2 linked regions of the Arabidopsis thaliana genome follow. The protein of the gene in region 2 interacts with the protein of the main gene of each other region in a pairwise test. Each region holds a gene or a part of one and is shown on either strand. Other genes may lie near its edges.

Evidence for each region.
Region 1: the proteins of SCL30 (region 2) and AT5G25490 interact in a two-hybrid assay, tested with the Arabidopsis thaliana proteins (one large-scale study listed by BioGRID).

The regions. Positions count from the first base shown.
Region 1 is NC_003076.8:8,873,233-8,880,344, forward strand, and holds AT5G25490 (Ran BP2/NZF zinc finger-like superfamily protein), read left to right. Parts: upstream 1-3,088; 5' UTR 3,089-3,304; intron 3,305-3,400; 5' UTR 3,401-3,406; coding exon 3,407-3,828; intron 3,829-4,016; coding exon 4,017-4,107; 3' UTR 4,108-4,142; exon of another isoform or gene 4,143-4,327; 3' UTR 4,328-4,672; downstream 4,673-7,112.
Region 2 is NC_003074.8:20,557,742-20,566,663, reverse strand, and holds SCL30 (SC35-like splicing factor 30), read right to left. Parts: upstream 5,863-8,922; 5' UTR 5,762-5,862; intron 5,644-5,761; 5' UTR 5,641-5,643; coding exon 5,465-5,640; intron 5,365-5,464; coding exon 5,287-5,364; intron 4,187-5,286; coding exon 4,016-4,186; intron 3,875-4,015; coding exon 3,843-3,874; intron 3,661-3,842; coding exon 3,582-3,660; intron 3,500-3,581; coding exon 3,350-3,499; intron 3,265-3,349; coding exon 3,162-3,264; 3' UTR 2,779-3,161; downstream 1-2,778. Other genes in the region: PAT2 (protein affected trafficking 2), read left to right, coding at 1-292; AT3G55470 (Calcium-dependent lipid-binding (CaLB domain) family protein), read right to left, coding at 572-631, 729-864, 968-1,109, 2,078-2,143, 2,242-2,308; PBL1 (PBS1-like 1), read right to left, coding at 6,701-7,125, 7,313-7,436, 7,516-7,661, 7,740-7,875, 7,968-8,338, 8,457-8,535. UniProt on the Arabidopsis thaliana protein: Involved in intron recognition and spliceosome assembly. Probably active at the 5' splice sites.

The DNA of each region.
Region 1 (7,112 bases), on a different chromosome or scaffold from region 2:
AACAAGCACACCCCTCTTGATTTACCGCTCCCTTCTATAAACGTGAAACCTTAAGGATAATCTCTACCCTTAACTAAACTCCCCTGAGTCTAGATTTAATCAGGATAACCTAACCCTGAGTTAAACTCCTTCTGAGCCTAGACTTCAATTCTCCAAGTCTCTGGAATAACCTTCACGCACCAACAAACAAGCTTGATCACACAAGCACCAAACCCGCGAAACTATGTCGCATAAAACCGTGAAACTATGTCGCACACACCCTTAGAAAGCTCTCAATGATTTGTCTTTATGTCTCAGCTCTCCTGCCTCTCCAAGACGTCCTACCTCCTCCTTATGTAGCCAAAACGATTTCCTAATCACCATAGGAGAAGATTTCCTTTTTCCATAAGAAAAAGTAAATTTACTCTTATCCTTTTTCTCATCAAACTCCACTTTCATCAAGTCTTCCAAATCTCTTTAAGTCCTTTTTCTTTTTTGATTCATCCTCTAAACACGCTCTTCTCAAATCTTCTAGAAACCGATACTCACACAAAACTGTCGCATCCTGAATTATTTCTTGAATCATTCAGCAATTTTATCAGATAAAATCATGTATTACTTCTTGTATCATTCAACACTTTCATCAGCAGCAGCTACATCTTCAACTTAGTCCTGTAATTTATTTTCTTAACATACAATTGAATTCAGCTAATCGTCCTTGCGAATGATCAAATGCATAGATAATTGTATCATCCTAAATAAAAGACGTGGGGAAATCATATGACATCTAGAACTTTGGAGAAGGGGGAGATAAGTGATGATGCATGGAAGCATTTCCCAAAGATAATCGAATAGATTCTCTCTTTTCTTTTGTGTTCGTCAGTTTTTCTTTACCATTCCCCGAGACAATATGGTGGGTTTATTAATTATTTTGATTCTTCTATAATTCTTCCCATTATTTTTATATATTCTTTTTAAGTTACCCATTCTTTTTTCTTCAATGTCGAGACGTCGAGTTAGTTAGCTTTTACGGCGACTTATGGATAAGGCATTACGCTCGGAGCCATGGACTGAGTTGGATAGATATAATGCGTATAATATTTAATCCCCATAACCTATATTTTAATTCCTATACATTGTAATGGTAGCATCTCAACTTTAAGGTTAGAGTTGGAACCTTAAAGTTTATGAATATTACAAAACACTTGTATGGGGGTGGAGTGCATGAAAATTAGAGCTGGGATGTATATATGGGAATATATATGCACTACATTATCTTACATTTTACATTGAAAAAATATTAGAAGATATTGTTCTTCATTTATTTAAGTATATTTTTACTGCTGGTGTATTCTACTGCCCTATATATATCTCGAAAGTTAAATAAATTCATATGTTATATAACTTTTAGTCATTCGTGGCATTCTTCTGTTACATCTTACTGTGGATTTTTCGTCTTATTATCTTATAGCTGACTCTTACTTTAGAGAGACAAGTATACCACAATGGAAAGGGTGATTTGACGGTAAAAAAAGCGATTGCAGTGTACCCACAAACGACAATTTATAATTTGTATGTGGGATATATAGTAAGGGAAATAAAAATCATAGGGTTAAATAGAAAAAGTGAATGAAACTGTCTTGTAGTTGTAGTAGACGAATCAAAAGGACACGTAGATGGTCAAGATACGAACCTCAAAGCCTTTTCCCTCCCATTTAATGATTCTTGTTTTTGTTTTAATCTATAATTTTTCATGATTTTCTTAAGTCTTTGTTTTGAAAATCACGAACGAATAAGTTCTGATGGATGTACTTGAATATTAGTAACAAGACTAATTGAATTAAAGAAAAGAGAAGTTATTCCTTTGACGTTTATAATTTTCCGCGGCTAAGGGAACATATACGTTCCTTGAAACTGTTGCCATGCAACTTTTGCTTTAACAGTTTAGAGAGTTTTTTACTTCATGCTACATCCTTTTTCTCCTGACACACACAAGAGCATATTATACATCCATGTACCTCCTCCATCGACCATCAATATATAGATACATGTGATTATTAATTATCTACATAAAAAGTTATACCACGAAGTTGCGATTGATAATATGAAAGTGGTACATGCTCGAAATAGATAATGAGAATATATCAGCTTTAGTTGTCTCATCGTTAGTCAATCTATATGTGCATATACAGTTAACAAGAAATCTATAAGCATATACGAACTGGGGTCCCAATAAGGTCTAAGAATCTTTTTTTTCTTTTTTTCTTTTCTTTGCTTTGCTTTAGTTTAGTTTGTGAAATTTAGTGAAAATTTCATTTTGTCTCATAGAGAAACCACATGTTAGTCAAAAATTATATAGTAAGTCCAAGAAAACTATATTAATATACCCATATTACCATATAGTCGGAGATTTCTAGTATCTCTAGTTTAGTTCTTCTTATTCATTATCAATTCAAGTGTTATAAAACCTCGAGACCAATAAAATAGGATTCACTCTCCTTCGTGCCCCCAAAGATATAGGTTTACATATCTATATTTCCACACCACCATTTTAAAAGCAAGAGTTAATTAAAGAGATATTTTTTAGTCATCTTGGTATGTAATCTGGTAAACTTTTTAGTTTGTTATCTTGTATAAACAACCAGTAAGATTTTGGTTCTTTTGTAAATACTTCTCTTTGAATTTAGGACTAGTGTTTTAAAATTACTTTCCTCCCATATTTTTGTTTTGATCTTTCAATTTAAATTAAAAGTTCGTTTACAACCCATGCATGCACACTTCCGAATTTAAACTCGGATTATAATTTGGCACTATAATAATCTATTAGAATACGTCTTGATTAATTTTAAAATATTTAGGTGTCTTAAAATAAGTACGTACGTTGATAAATATGGAGATATATACATCTGTCAAGTAAATGGTATTGAATTTGCCAGTATTAGCTTTTGTGAAGCTGACGCAAAATGAAAACGGCTGATATCTAAAGCTTTAACCTTGTGTTTCTTTTTTTTGTTTAAAATAGTGGGGTCTAGAAATGATAAATTAATTTAAAGTCCTCGATATATATAAATAGATAAATTTGTTTCTTTTGGGAATAACGTAGTTTACGGAGAAACCCAAATGTTAAAGGGAAATGCATTAAAGCTGTAGCAAAATAAGAAAGTAAAAACCAATTGAAACCCTAATTTCACTTCAAAAAATGTTCCCGGTTGTTAAAGGAAGGGCCTTTTGCTTTGTCCATATAAATATATTGTGAGAGTACAACAACACCTTCATAAGCTCTTACACTCATTTCAACTCTCTTTTTCGTTTCCATTACCCTCAGGTAATCATAACATATATATAAGTTACATTTGTAGATACATATGTCTTTAGTTTTGTGTAATTTGTTACTTAATTATTATTTTCTATGGTGTTGTAGAAGAAGATGAATAGGCCGGGAGATTGGAACTGCAGATTGTGTAGCCACCTCAACTTCCAGAGGAGGGATTCATGCCAACGTTGTAGAGAGCCTAGACCGGGCGGGATCAGTACCGATTTACTCAGCGGTTTTGGTGGCCGTCCGGTTAGTAGCTCCTTCGGTTTCAACACCGGGCCCGATGTGCGACCCGGGGATTGGTATTGCAACCTTGGGGATTGTGGGACACATAATTTTGCCAATAGGTCCAGTTGTTTCAAGTGTGGTGCCGCAAAAGATGAGTTTTCATGCTCAAGTGCTGCTGCAACAACCGGGTTTATGGACATGAATGTTGGTCCGAGACGTGGCCTTTTTGGTTTTGGCGGCAGCAGTAGTGGTGGTGGTGGTACGGGCCGTTCTCCTTGGAAATCTGGAGATTGGATTTGCCCAAGGTACTTTTTTGTTTGATTGTTTCTATGTATTGATGTTATTTTTTTGCAATAATATGTTTTGATGGTTAAAACTTAAAGCCAAAAAAGAAACATGCATGCTGGCTTACGTAAGCTAAACACGACCGTTTAAATTGTATTAATGTATATGCATATCGTAGAAACTGATTGGTTTAATTTGTATATTATAGGTCAGGCTGTAACGAACATAACTTCGCAAGCAGGTCAGAGTGTTTCAGGTGTAACGCACCAAAGGAACTTGCCACCGAACCACCCTATTAGTCATTTAGTCCTCCTACCTTCTTCATCATTTCCAAGTACTTTTCGTTTCAACAATAGTCTTAACTTCTGATCAGAAACAGTTCGACATATATATTTGGATGATAGAATTTGTTAACATTTACAACTTTATTATATCGTAAAAGTTTAAATAGTAGTGTGAAATACACTAACGATAGTACTTTAACGTTAACGTACGTATCTTTTTGATTATTTTTTTTAGTACTCTGGAAGCATTAGAGGAGAGCAGAAAGGTGAAGAATCGAAGCAAGATACCGACCGCCCTTAATCTCTTGATTTGTTTAATTTCTTAGATTTGACTCGTTTTATATCTCGTAGTAGTCAGACCTATGTTAGAATGTAAGCATGTCGAGAGTTTTCCGAAGCATTTTGTTCTGATATCGGTCTCCTAGCTAGTATGTAAGTTTGTTTGAATGTATTCTTATTTCTGATAAAGTTGTTTCCTTCTGATTCCGCAATCACGATTCTCATCTAAGTTTGAAACACTTGAGTTGTTGAACGTACGAGAGGCTGAGAGCTGTTGAGAACTTCTTCTGTGGCCGCAAATCCAAATTGCATGCAAATGTTATTATATATGCAATTAAAATTTTGTTATATAATTTGTAGTAGGAATGTAGTTTTACGTTAAACCAAACACAAACTCTAGTAACCGTTTGAAATGGGTAGATGCATGGACCACAACGAAACCTTTTGTCCAATGCCTCAAAAAAAAATATGCATGAGCATTCATATTATGATGTGGCTTGGTGATAATGAGCTTACCACCAAATCGAATGAAAATGTATGAGTTCCACTCTAAAATGAGAATAGTTATCAGAAAATATTAATTATGTTATATATCATTAATTAGTTTAGAATTCTAATTTATTTTCTTGGTAACATTAAGTTGCAAAATTAATTTTAATTAAATACAAATACGGATTTCACTATATATTAAATTGCGTATTCAAGGCCATCTTTTCGCACATACATTCGAGCAGTCGAACAAAACCCATAAGAAGATTTTTGCAATGAAGTTTTGTCATAAACAACAATATTGCAACTGATCGATGACCGTTTCCTTAATTGTTTGTAATGGGTGGTATACTTAAAAATTTGTTTTCAAAATGTAAGTAAGAAAGAAAAAAATCAGTAACGCATTTTTCATATTTACCATTCAACTTTTGATCCTGCTTATTTTTGTACTGTTTGTTCCGTCTCGCAGTACTAATTAGAACTACACTTTTTTTGGTCAAAACACTAACTACATTTTTTTTGCTTGATCTACTACTCAATATATTTTTGTTTTTATCGCTCGTTCTATACTGCCACGTACGATTGAGACTCTAAAATAGAGCAAGCGTACGTTGGTACGTGTCCACACACACGTTGCATTTTGCATAGGATTCCAATTTACTGAACTCATGGAAGTGTAGTTAAGATTATCATCAACGGGTCAAAAAAAAAAAAGACAACCAGTCTTTAATGTCTGCTACTATAATCCATTGCTTAGCTTTTATTTTTTCGTTAAAGGGTTGCACTAATTGGCTTTTTACTAAAGAATCTTTCGTTTTTCCCCCACTTTGAAGTCAATTCATCATTTGATTCTTCTTTGGTTTTAGTGAAGTGAAAGTACGTCTTAGGTATGATTATCATGCATGCATCATAGTGAACGTCTTCCCACTTTGAATTTCAAAACTATCAATTATTAGATTCGATTTAGATATGAATATATAATAATAGTATTTCAAAATGCATAAATTAGGTTGTGAATTGTAGACGATAAAATACAACCAGCTTAGTAATCTTCTTCTAATTATCAAATATATAGCATAATTCCTAAATCATATGTTTATTCTCATTAACTAACATAGTAGGTAATTCTGTTCATATGATTTAGCTAAATGCACGGTTTCATAATCACCTAAAGATCCATAAGCAATCATCAAATTACAATTAGTGTCAAACTAAGCACTACTTAAAATTCAGTGTTGGCGGAGAATAATATAAGACACATCTAATTACAATGGTAAGGATAGATGTGTGCAACAGTGCAAGTATATGTATAGCTTTAATCATAACTTATTAGTGTTTCTTTTAATGAGCAAATGAGAGAGACTTGTCGATGACCAATCTAAGTAAAGTGTACATCACTTGTTAAATAAACAAATATATTCTTACTGTTAAAGTCAATTTTTATAACAAAAGCAATAGCAAAGATAACTTTTTATCCATTTCAAAAACACCCTTACACAACGCTAATAAATTCTTAAATTTTGGGAAAAATTGCGGTAACTTTTATAAAAGTTTTAAAATTTATCTTTAACCCACATAAAAAAGCAAAGCATGTTCATCTTTCTAAGCCCTTTTTTTCTTAGCCCTTCTTTCTTTTGTTTCACATTTCCACATTCTTCCTAATAATTTCTATCTTTATGCAAAGCACACAATTGACATGGATGGAGCATATGCATATGTATTTGATGAAAACTTATTTTCTGGTACAGTATAATTCCACCAGAAAATTGAAGCCTCCACACGAATATTGTTTTTTTTTTTTTCTTTTTTTTTTACAAGATGTGATATACATAATGATTTAAATTTGATTGGTGACACGTTAACGACACTAAGACAGATTGTGAGTTTCCACGTGAGTTTGTTATCAAAGTATTTGTTTAACATTTGAGGACTCAAGATTCATATTCTAACATTATCAAATACTATTTTCTTACATAAAATGAAAATATCACCTATTGTTCAATTAGGAAAAAAAAATTGAAGGAAAAAGAAGATAATTTAAAATACTTTTAAGTTGGAATGCATGTAGATTAAGATTATTAAAAAATTAGAAAATGGCAAAAATATTTAACCAATAAACGGTGGTTCAGTGATTCAAAAGTTATTCTAAGATGGTACGAAATAGAGTTCACATTTTGTCATTTGTTTTCTATCATTGTTGGTAATATCGTGGGCATTTTAACATGTACTAGGTATAATATTGCAAAATAAAA
Region 2 (8,922 bases):
CATCTGCGAGAGTATAACACTAAAGGTGCTTAGCAACTCAAATCTACACCTTGTATCTGTGGATTTACCAGTTGCAAACTCACTCGAAGATGCAACTGGTCTGCGATTAAGATTCAGCAGCAAAATCTTGAGCAGTGAGATCCCTCTTTTGATTACCATCACAGTCGAAGGCAAATGCACCGAAGTTCTGAATTTAACAGTCAAGATCAATTGCGAAGAAACGGTTTTTGGTTTAAACCTGTTGAACAGGATAGCTAATTTCATGGTTGAGCCGTCTTCTTCAGCCACTTGATCATCAAAACTGAGGATCTTTTTTTTGTCACCTTGTGAAAATGTTACCAATCCTTTTTTTTATAACATTATTTTGATACATTTATGTAAAATATAAATTATAAATACAATGAGATTTCAATTTCATACACATGCTCTTACTAAATCAAGAAGATTCCCCACAACCAACAAATCATGATACATTTTAATTTAAATAATTTTTTGTACTTATGAATATCTTAATGATGTTGACACTAAAGATAGAAGAAGAAGATAAAATCAGCAGTTTTAAGAAACCAAACTAATCAACTTGGCTATGCTTCCATCCTCCAAACTGTTCTCCATCCATTCCCCTGTCTTGCTGAAAATTCCCAACAAAAAGTAAAGAGTTTACTTCAATCAGAGAGTAAATAAATTTTAGTTAAAAAAAAAGAAAGTAAAAGTAAAAAGAAACTAACCAAAAGAGAGTAAGAAACTCCAATGAGAAGCTCGCCGACAAAGGAGAGATCGGAGTCAACAATGTTGTACTTGGTTGGCCTTAGCTCCGCCGTTCCCTTCTCCACTCCCATTTCCAATAGCTCTTTCACATGTACCCTATTTATTCATTTCCATTAATCAAGATTAGTCCATATTCTTTTTTTCTTTTCGATTTCAGTTATGTATAGTTTAGGGCTATCATGTTATGTGATATACGTACGTGGCTTCGCCAATGAAATCGTCAGAGGAGAAAGTATCATGATCCATGACTTTGACGATGAGTTTGTAGTCGGCGCCGGAGCCAGGAAACTCTGCTCTCCATTTCAATTTATCATTCCATGTCGGATTTCTACCTCCATCTTCTTCATTTAAGTAAACAAAAAAGATGAAAATTTGATAAACGATGTTTGTACATGAAATATGATAATGAGAAAAGAACATTGTCCAGTTTGATCCGTTATTGGTAAAGTAGACAAAAGCCGTTTGATTAAAGCCGTGCAATCAATATCTCACTAAAACACCATTTTCTTCAGTAAAACATTAACCAAGTCTAGCGAGGATTGTTTACATCACAGTAGTTTTCACATTTCACTACCCATTTTTGTAGGAAATGAAAATATTATTTCTTATAGCTAGTAGTTTGGTGTATTAGTTGGTGATTAGTTAAAAATAAGGTTGGCCAGACAATATCACACTAAATGAGATGACTACTTTCAGAAGAAAGCTCTATCCATACACAACATTTTTCAAGATTTAAACCATATACATGAAAACAAACTTGCAAGCTACCACAAAATGTCTCAAAATATAAAATAGTGTAATGACAAATAGTGAAATGATAAAAGTAGCGGAAAGCATTTGAGAGTTGGGATGAACAAATTTTGCCGAATAATCACGAACAATAGTTAGCTAGTTTTTGGAAAATTGATTGTTTTATTTTCAAGTTACACTTTTAAAACATGCATTTATATAACTTATGCATCATCAGAACGTAAAAACCTGATGAATGTTATAACTGATAAAAGATAATGAATGTTATCAAAACGCGAATAAATAGTATAGCCTAAGCTACCATGTAATGGCTATGAGGATAGTTGAAATACCAATGGATGCAAGTTGCAACTATTATTTACTTTATGTACAACCATCAACTAACACCAGCATGTGGGCTTTTTATTCCTAAAGTCCAAGTATATAGAAAAGAAAATGATGAAATTGGAGAAATAGTCTCTCTCGCATAAAACGAAAAAAAAAGTCAAACGAAATAACCCGAATTAAGCTGATAGAGATTTGGAAATATGGAAAGAAGGAAACTAGCAAGTTAAATTACCTTTAGCAACGCTGCTTTTGCGGGTTTGCCCTTTGTATTGGATCTCAACATATGGATCTATCTTACCTACAATCATACAAAACCAAGAAAAATATAAATTGTTGTAAAAGGGTTTTTTAAATGATCAAAGGATACGAAATCTGAGAGAATAGAGAGATCATTACCAAGAAAATCAGAGCGCTTGAGACCTTTGCCACTGATCAGACTAACCTCAAGGATTCCAACAGCCATCTCTGTAGAGTTATTTTTTAAGTTTTTGGGGTTTGTGTTGTTTCTAAAGAAAAAGAAGAAGAAGAAGAAGAAGAAGAAGAAGAAGAAGAAGAAGAAGAAGGAGAAAGAGAAACGATTGATGAAGTGGATGTGTCAGACAAAGTCTTTAAATACAGAAGCAAGAACACGCAGACTTTCTCGTTCACATAATGATTTTTTACTATTCTTATTTACTCTTTTTCAATTTTCAAACATAACCTGCGTCGTGGTTCCAAGACTTGATCAAACCAAACCAAACCATTATTACGTAACAGGAGGCAAAACCTAAAGTTTATAAGTCTGGTCAACTAAGCTAAAATGACCATCTTACCCTTACTTAGTTTAAGGAAAGACTCTTGGCTGCTTGAAAAATGTATACGAACCCAATTAAAAGTAGAAGTCTTTGGACTTTTGATCAAAACAGACCCAATAAAACATCATTATGGCTTCTTCTAGATGAATGAGTCTTTTTATTCTCTTCTTCTCAGAAATTCTTAGACCTGACTTTCCTAATTAAATATCTGCAAAGGCTGCTCGAGAACAAAAAAAGGTCGCAATTCTCGACCTCGACCATACGAGAGAAGACTTGGTTTACTCGCTCATTGTGGGTTTTAAACCTGTCTCACATCAAAAGCATAACCAATCTTCTTCATACAATTTTATAATAAGACCCATAAACCGAAACCGATTTCAAGTAACATCACATCACAAGACAAAATATCTTTGACAAGCCAGAGTAAGGAGTTTTTAAAGACACAGAGACGCACTACTAGAGAAATGCAAAACCCATAAAGCGTTGCACAAAGTTTTGGTCGGCCACTTCTTCACATAAGTTTCATCTTGGAGATACCTCCACAGACCTGGACCTGGATCCTGATGGCGACCTTGAAACTGCTCTTCCACCACGACGTCTATCCTCTGCTTCATAGCCCGGTTTTCTATTAAGACCAATCAATGTCCAGATACGAAAAATCAGACACAATCTTCAGGGGCAAAACAAATCAGACACCATGTTTCACTTACTCTCTAATCTCATTGTCTCCATTTCTGTCCCGATCTGGAGCAGCAGCAGCAGCACCTTCATAGCCAGGGGAGTAGGACCTACGACTGTAATTTTCATCTTCTTCCCCACGAGGAGGACCTCCTCTTCGTCTTGGTGCAGGAGAGTAAGACCTGTAACACCATTATCTAAAACCATATATACTTCTTGTTGACTTGATGATGATGGAAATGTATGTGTGATGAAGCATGTTACCTTGATCGGTATCTGCTTCTAGAATCTGACGGACGACGTGGAGAACGTGATCGAGAGATTGAACGTGAACGAGACCGTCCTGAGAACAAAAAATCATAAACATACTCAAGCTGTGTATACAAACCATGAGAACATGTATAAACAAGTGCTTTCTCAAGCTGTGTATAAACAAGTGCGTCCCAATCTAGCTGTGCTAATATTTGTGTAAACTTTGCTGGTATAGAACATAACATGTGCATAACCAGAGAGAAAATTACTAACCATGAGAACGATCCCTGGAGCCTGAAGGTTCCCTGAAAAATTGAGACAACGCAACGATTATTTCCTTCTCAACTTCTTTTCATAAATGATGGATAACTTGCAGAGCATTAATCACGAAGAGCGATTTGATTGATAACTCTTTTGCTTAAGCAATCAGAAATATGGAAACTTACCTACTACGAGTCCTAGTCTTCACACGCATCTCTTCAGGCCTTTTCCTAGACTCTGAAGCAACAACCACCGTTATCTCTCTTCCAGCAAAGCTTCTCCTGTTCATGCTTCTTTGAGCCTCCCCAGCATCATATGCATCAACAAACTCCACAAACGCAAACCCCCGCGGTTGCCTGCATCATTTATCAGAAGCTTATCATTCCAAGTGGTTGATGGTTGAAAGCAAATGCACAAAACACCAGATAAATCTAGAATTACCAGCAAAATCAGCCTACATTCTACAGCTTCTGAGAACTTCTAAGTAAACGTCATCGTGTGAGAACTTCTAAGAAAAGCAGAGTTCTACTTACGCTAATATGATTAGTAGCTGACCCTTTCATAACAGTTCAAGCATATCAACTCGAAAAGAGGCAAGCATCTTGTAAAAATAAGATGCACTTGATCCCAAACTTAAGTTCTCTTCAGGTCGTCTTCCCCAAAAAACTTCTAAGGTTTTGAGTAATTTACTGTATAGCTTCATAAAGAACATGCTTCACTTATTACTGCTTCCATTCAGAACATTCTTCACTTACTACTTGCTTCCAAACAAAACATTCTTCACTTATTACTTGCTTCCAAACAAAATATTCTTCACTTAATACTTCCTTCCAAATAAAACATGCTTCACATATAACTTGCTTCCAAACAAAACATTCTTGATTTGAAATGACCCTTAATATCCTTAAGTTAAGATTTTTTTCATGAGGCCTTCATCAAATGTGGGGCTTGGTCTTGTTTTAACTTCAAGCCAACATACCCCCTGGGAAATCAGTGGAATGTTTAATTTACTATGAAAAAAAGAACTCCAAAACAAAAAGCTCTGAAAAAATCGAGAACTCAACCAAAAGGACCTCTTCTCACCTCGAGAACTTAGCTCGATCAAAAAGTGGAGTGTATAAAAAAAGTAACATGCACAGGTTGCGCCAAAATCAAAATTCAAAACTCATATGTCACTTGCAATTTTCCTCACTTTGTGCACAAGTTGAAGACTTATGAACATCCTTTTTAATCAAAACAAATGGTTCAGCATTGAATGTGAAGCAGCAAAGTGTTTAGACAGCATTTTTCAATCGTAAAGAAAGCAAATTCTACAGGAAAACAAGAATCATATGCTAAGCCATTACCTAACTAGTCCATCTATAAAAGATTCACACCTCAAAAGACATAATTCGCAGCACAAATTTCAGGTACAGTGAAAAAGATCAAGATATCGAGAAGGAAAGAGGAGGCTTACCCTGAGTAATAGTCTCTGGGGATATAGACATCTCTCACAGGTCCAAACCTCTCAAAGGGCTCACGAAGCTCTTCTGGTCTACAAAATCAAAAACAACAAAATCAACAACAACCCAACGAAATCTTCAAAGATAAACTAAAACAAAATCAAAACTTTAAACCAAAGGAAGAGAATTTACCTGCAATCAAGAGGAATGTTACGAACCAAGAGACTTCCATGGCTAGATCCTCTACGTCCACCACCACCACCACCACCACCATATCCACGTCGAGGAGGAGGAGGAGGAGGACTTCTACCTCGACCACCGTATCCTCTCCTCGGAGGACTGTAATAAGGCGGACTGTATCTCCTCATCACCTACCATAGAAACAAAACGATTTCAACGCAAGATCCTCAATTTCATCAAAACAAAAACTTGTTTCTTGGAAGAACAGTGATAAATTAGGGTTTACGGTCGGAGGATTGTGGAATTTACCTGCGACGGAGTTAATTTGATCACTTGAGAGTAGCAATGTTCAAAGACAGATCTGAAGTGAACCCTAAGCCCTTCTTATGAGAGATCAGAGAATAGAGAAGAAGAAGACAGATCTTTTTCTATTGATCGGAGAGCTTGGCCCATTTATTAAATGGGCTTTTGGCCTTATCGCGTTTTTTCCTTTTTCGCGTATGTTTTTTTAAATGGAAAAAGGGAAAGATTGTTGATTGTTGACAATTAGAGAAACAGTAAAAAAAATTGGGGAAAAAACAGTTTTAGTAACTTTTAACATTTATGACAAAAACAAAGTAACCCTTAAATATATAAGTTTACTGAGGTGACTTGTGTTTTGGAGATTCTCGTTCTAAATTGATATAGGAATTTTGAAAACCTCAAATTGAGTTAGTTCTTGTTCTAAAATAGTGACTTATTTGGCTATGTTGAATAGTTATTGATATTGATTTAACTCGAGATCCATTTTGGCTTAATTAACGTAAAATTTATTTATTTCTGGTTGATGACAATGTTCATGGAATTTGATATTTATGGTATTTTGTGAACTTCGGAATTGATATTAATGTTACATTATGAGTTTGTTGTACTATTCTGTCTGTTTTTGGCTACAAGTTATTTATGATTCAATCATCAACTATACTAATTAAAGTCATTTTCATAAAAACAAATCAACTTGACAGAAATTAGTTACATATATAGTAAACTAAAATGTTAGAAGAGAGTGGAATTGATCACTACCACATTTTGGCATATATCACCAAACTATAGATAGAGAGAAAACAAGTATCTCCAAATCGAATATTTCAGGAGCAAAACTATAAGCAGTGTTACAAAATGTCAAAATCACTTCGCACAATATTACAATACACAAGAAGAAGACATGAAGAGTACCTAACCAAGTAACCTTATATTTCCCTCTACCTACTACAATCCAACGGTTTTTTTGTTTAAACCGTTTCTCTGGTACTTGTCTTCTGTTTTCAATCCCACAAGTTTCTTGGTATCCTTAACCTTAAGCGGGTCAACATTGGCCGGTTTAACCACGCTGTCTTGCAGCTGTACCAAGGCTCGAACCACTTGGTCCATGGTCGGACGTGATTTGGGTTCGAATGATAGGCATTGCACAGCAATGCTTGCCAGTCTCACTGCTCCTTCGGGTTTGTACTGTGAGTTAAGCCGAGTGTCCACAATTAGTAGAACCTTTCGCCTGCTTGTGAGGTATGGTCGAGCCCAATCCACAAGGTTTTGCTCCTTGGCCGGGCGGTTATGGTCTAGTGCTTGCCTTCCACATAGTAGTTCTAGCAGAACAACCCCGAAACTGTATACGTCGCTTCTAGCATTTAAGTGGCCTGAAAAAAGATAGAAAGATGAGAGAACGAAACTAGCTATCAACCCATATGCTCCTTTAACCACATAAATTTTATAGTTGCTATCTTCAAATTTACATTAAAAACCAGTGTTAGGCACCATGCAACAGTCTTACATTTTCTTATCCAACCATTATTACTTGCATCATATCTTAGTGACAGAATGTACCTGTTGAGACATACTCAGGAGCTGCGTACCCAAAAGTACCCATGACCCTTGTACTAACATAACTTTGTTCTCCCATTGGACCGTCTCTCGCTAAACCAAAGTCTGAAAGCTTTGCGTTGAAGTCCTGTTGTTTGAAAGACAAAACTCAGTATCTTTTAAGTCGTTGATAAAGACAACAAGTAGACATCGAAAGAGAAGAATACCGAGTCCAGTAAGATGTTTGACGCCTTGATGTCTCTGTAAATGACTTTGACGGGATCACTATGAAGAAATGCAAGACCTTTAGCTGCATCAAGTGCAACCTTAATCCGTAGAATCCAAGATAGCGGCTTAAAATCCTTATTTCCATCTTCAAAAAAATCATTCAAACATAAGAACAAACAACCTCTCAAAGTTTCACAAAACATGGACGAGATCAAAGACTCACTTGCAAACAGATGATTCTCAAGACTACCCTTGTGCATAAACTCATACACAAGAAGCCGTTGTTCATCTTCCAAGCAATAACCAATCAATTTAACCAAATTCGGGTGACTTAACTGCCCCAAATAGTTAATCTCTGTCTGAAACCACAAAAAAAAAGATCAATATCAGAACCTACACACACAAAAACAAAAGAGTGTTATAAATCAAAGATAAGAAACAAGTGTTGTACCAGCCATTCTCGGTGACCTTGAAAACCATCAGGGTTAAGTCGTTTAACAGCAATAACAAGACCAGAGCTAGATTTGGTAGGAGTAAGAGTAGTCTCATCAAGCCAACCTCTAAAGACACAACCAAAGCCACCTTCTCCAACAACAGAGTCCGATCTGAAGTTTCTAGTAGCGAGTTTAAGTTCATTAAAGCTAAAGCTTTTGACGGTCGTTGAGCTAAGGATTTCTCCTTCTGTCTTATGAGCTGTAGCTGATGATGAAGATTTACAGCTCGAGAGATGAAGATCATCGAGACCACTACTGCTCTTATCTGCACAACACACAAAAGCGTTGACCACAGTCAAAATTGAGAGAACGCCAAAAAAGGGGAAAACTTTATTCAGTTAGATCACAGGAAGAAGATTCTTGCAAATTTCATTCCTTTTCTTAAAAGCCATTATCGATTAACCAAAAAGATCACGGATTTGAAGAGATACACATGTGTGAATCACAAAAAAAAAAAAAAAAAAATGGGAGATGGAGAATTGTAGAGAACGTACTAAGGACACGAGAACTGAGACAAGAACCCATTTAGTAGAATGATGAAGAAGATCGTTTTTTTTTTTTGCACTTTTCTCTGACAATGAATTTCTTCTTATGCTGTTTTTGGGTGGAGCAGATTCTATCAGATAAAACTCATTAAAGCGAAATAATAAAGAGAAAAAAAAAAGAGAAAGAGAAAAAGTAAACACTGAAGAAGAGAGAGGATGAGAGAAGAGAAAGAGAAGATGTGTGTTGATGAGATGGTAGAGGCAACCGAAGGAAGAAGAAAGGTCTTTTTCTTGTCCAAACAAAAAAAAAACGAATTCAGACAAAAGTTATATTTTTGACCAAAAGATAATAAACGAGTTCTAAATAAAATTAGTAATAACAATTTAATGATCAGTGGGACTTTTCTATTGTATGATTTTTAAAACT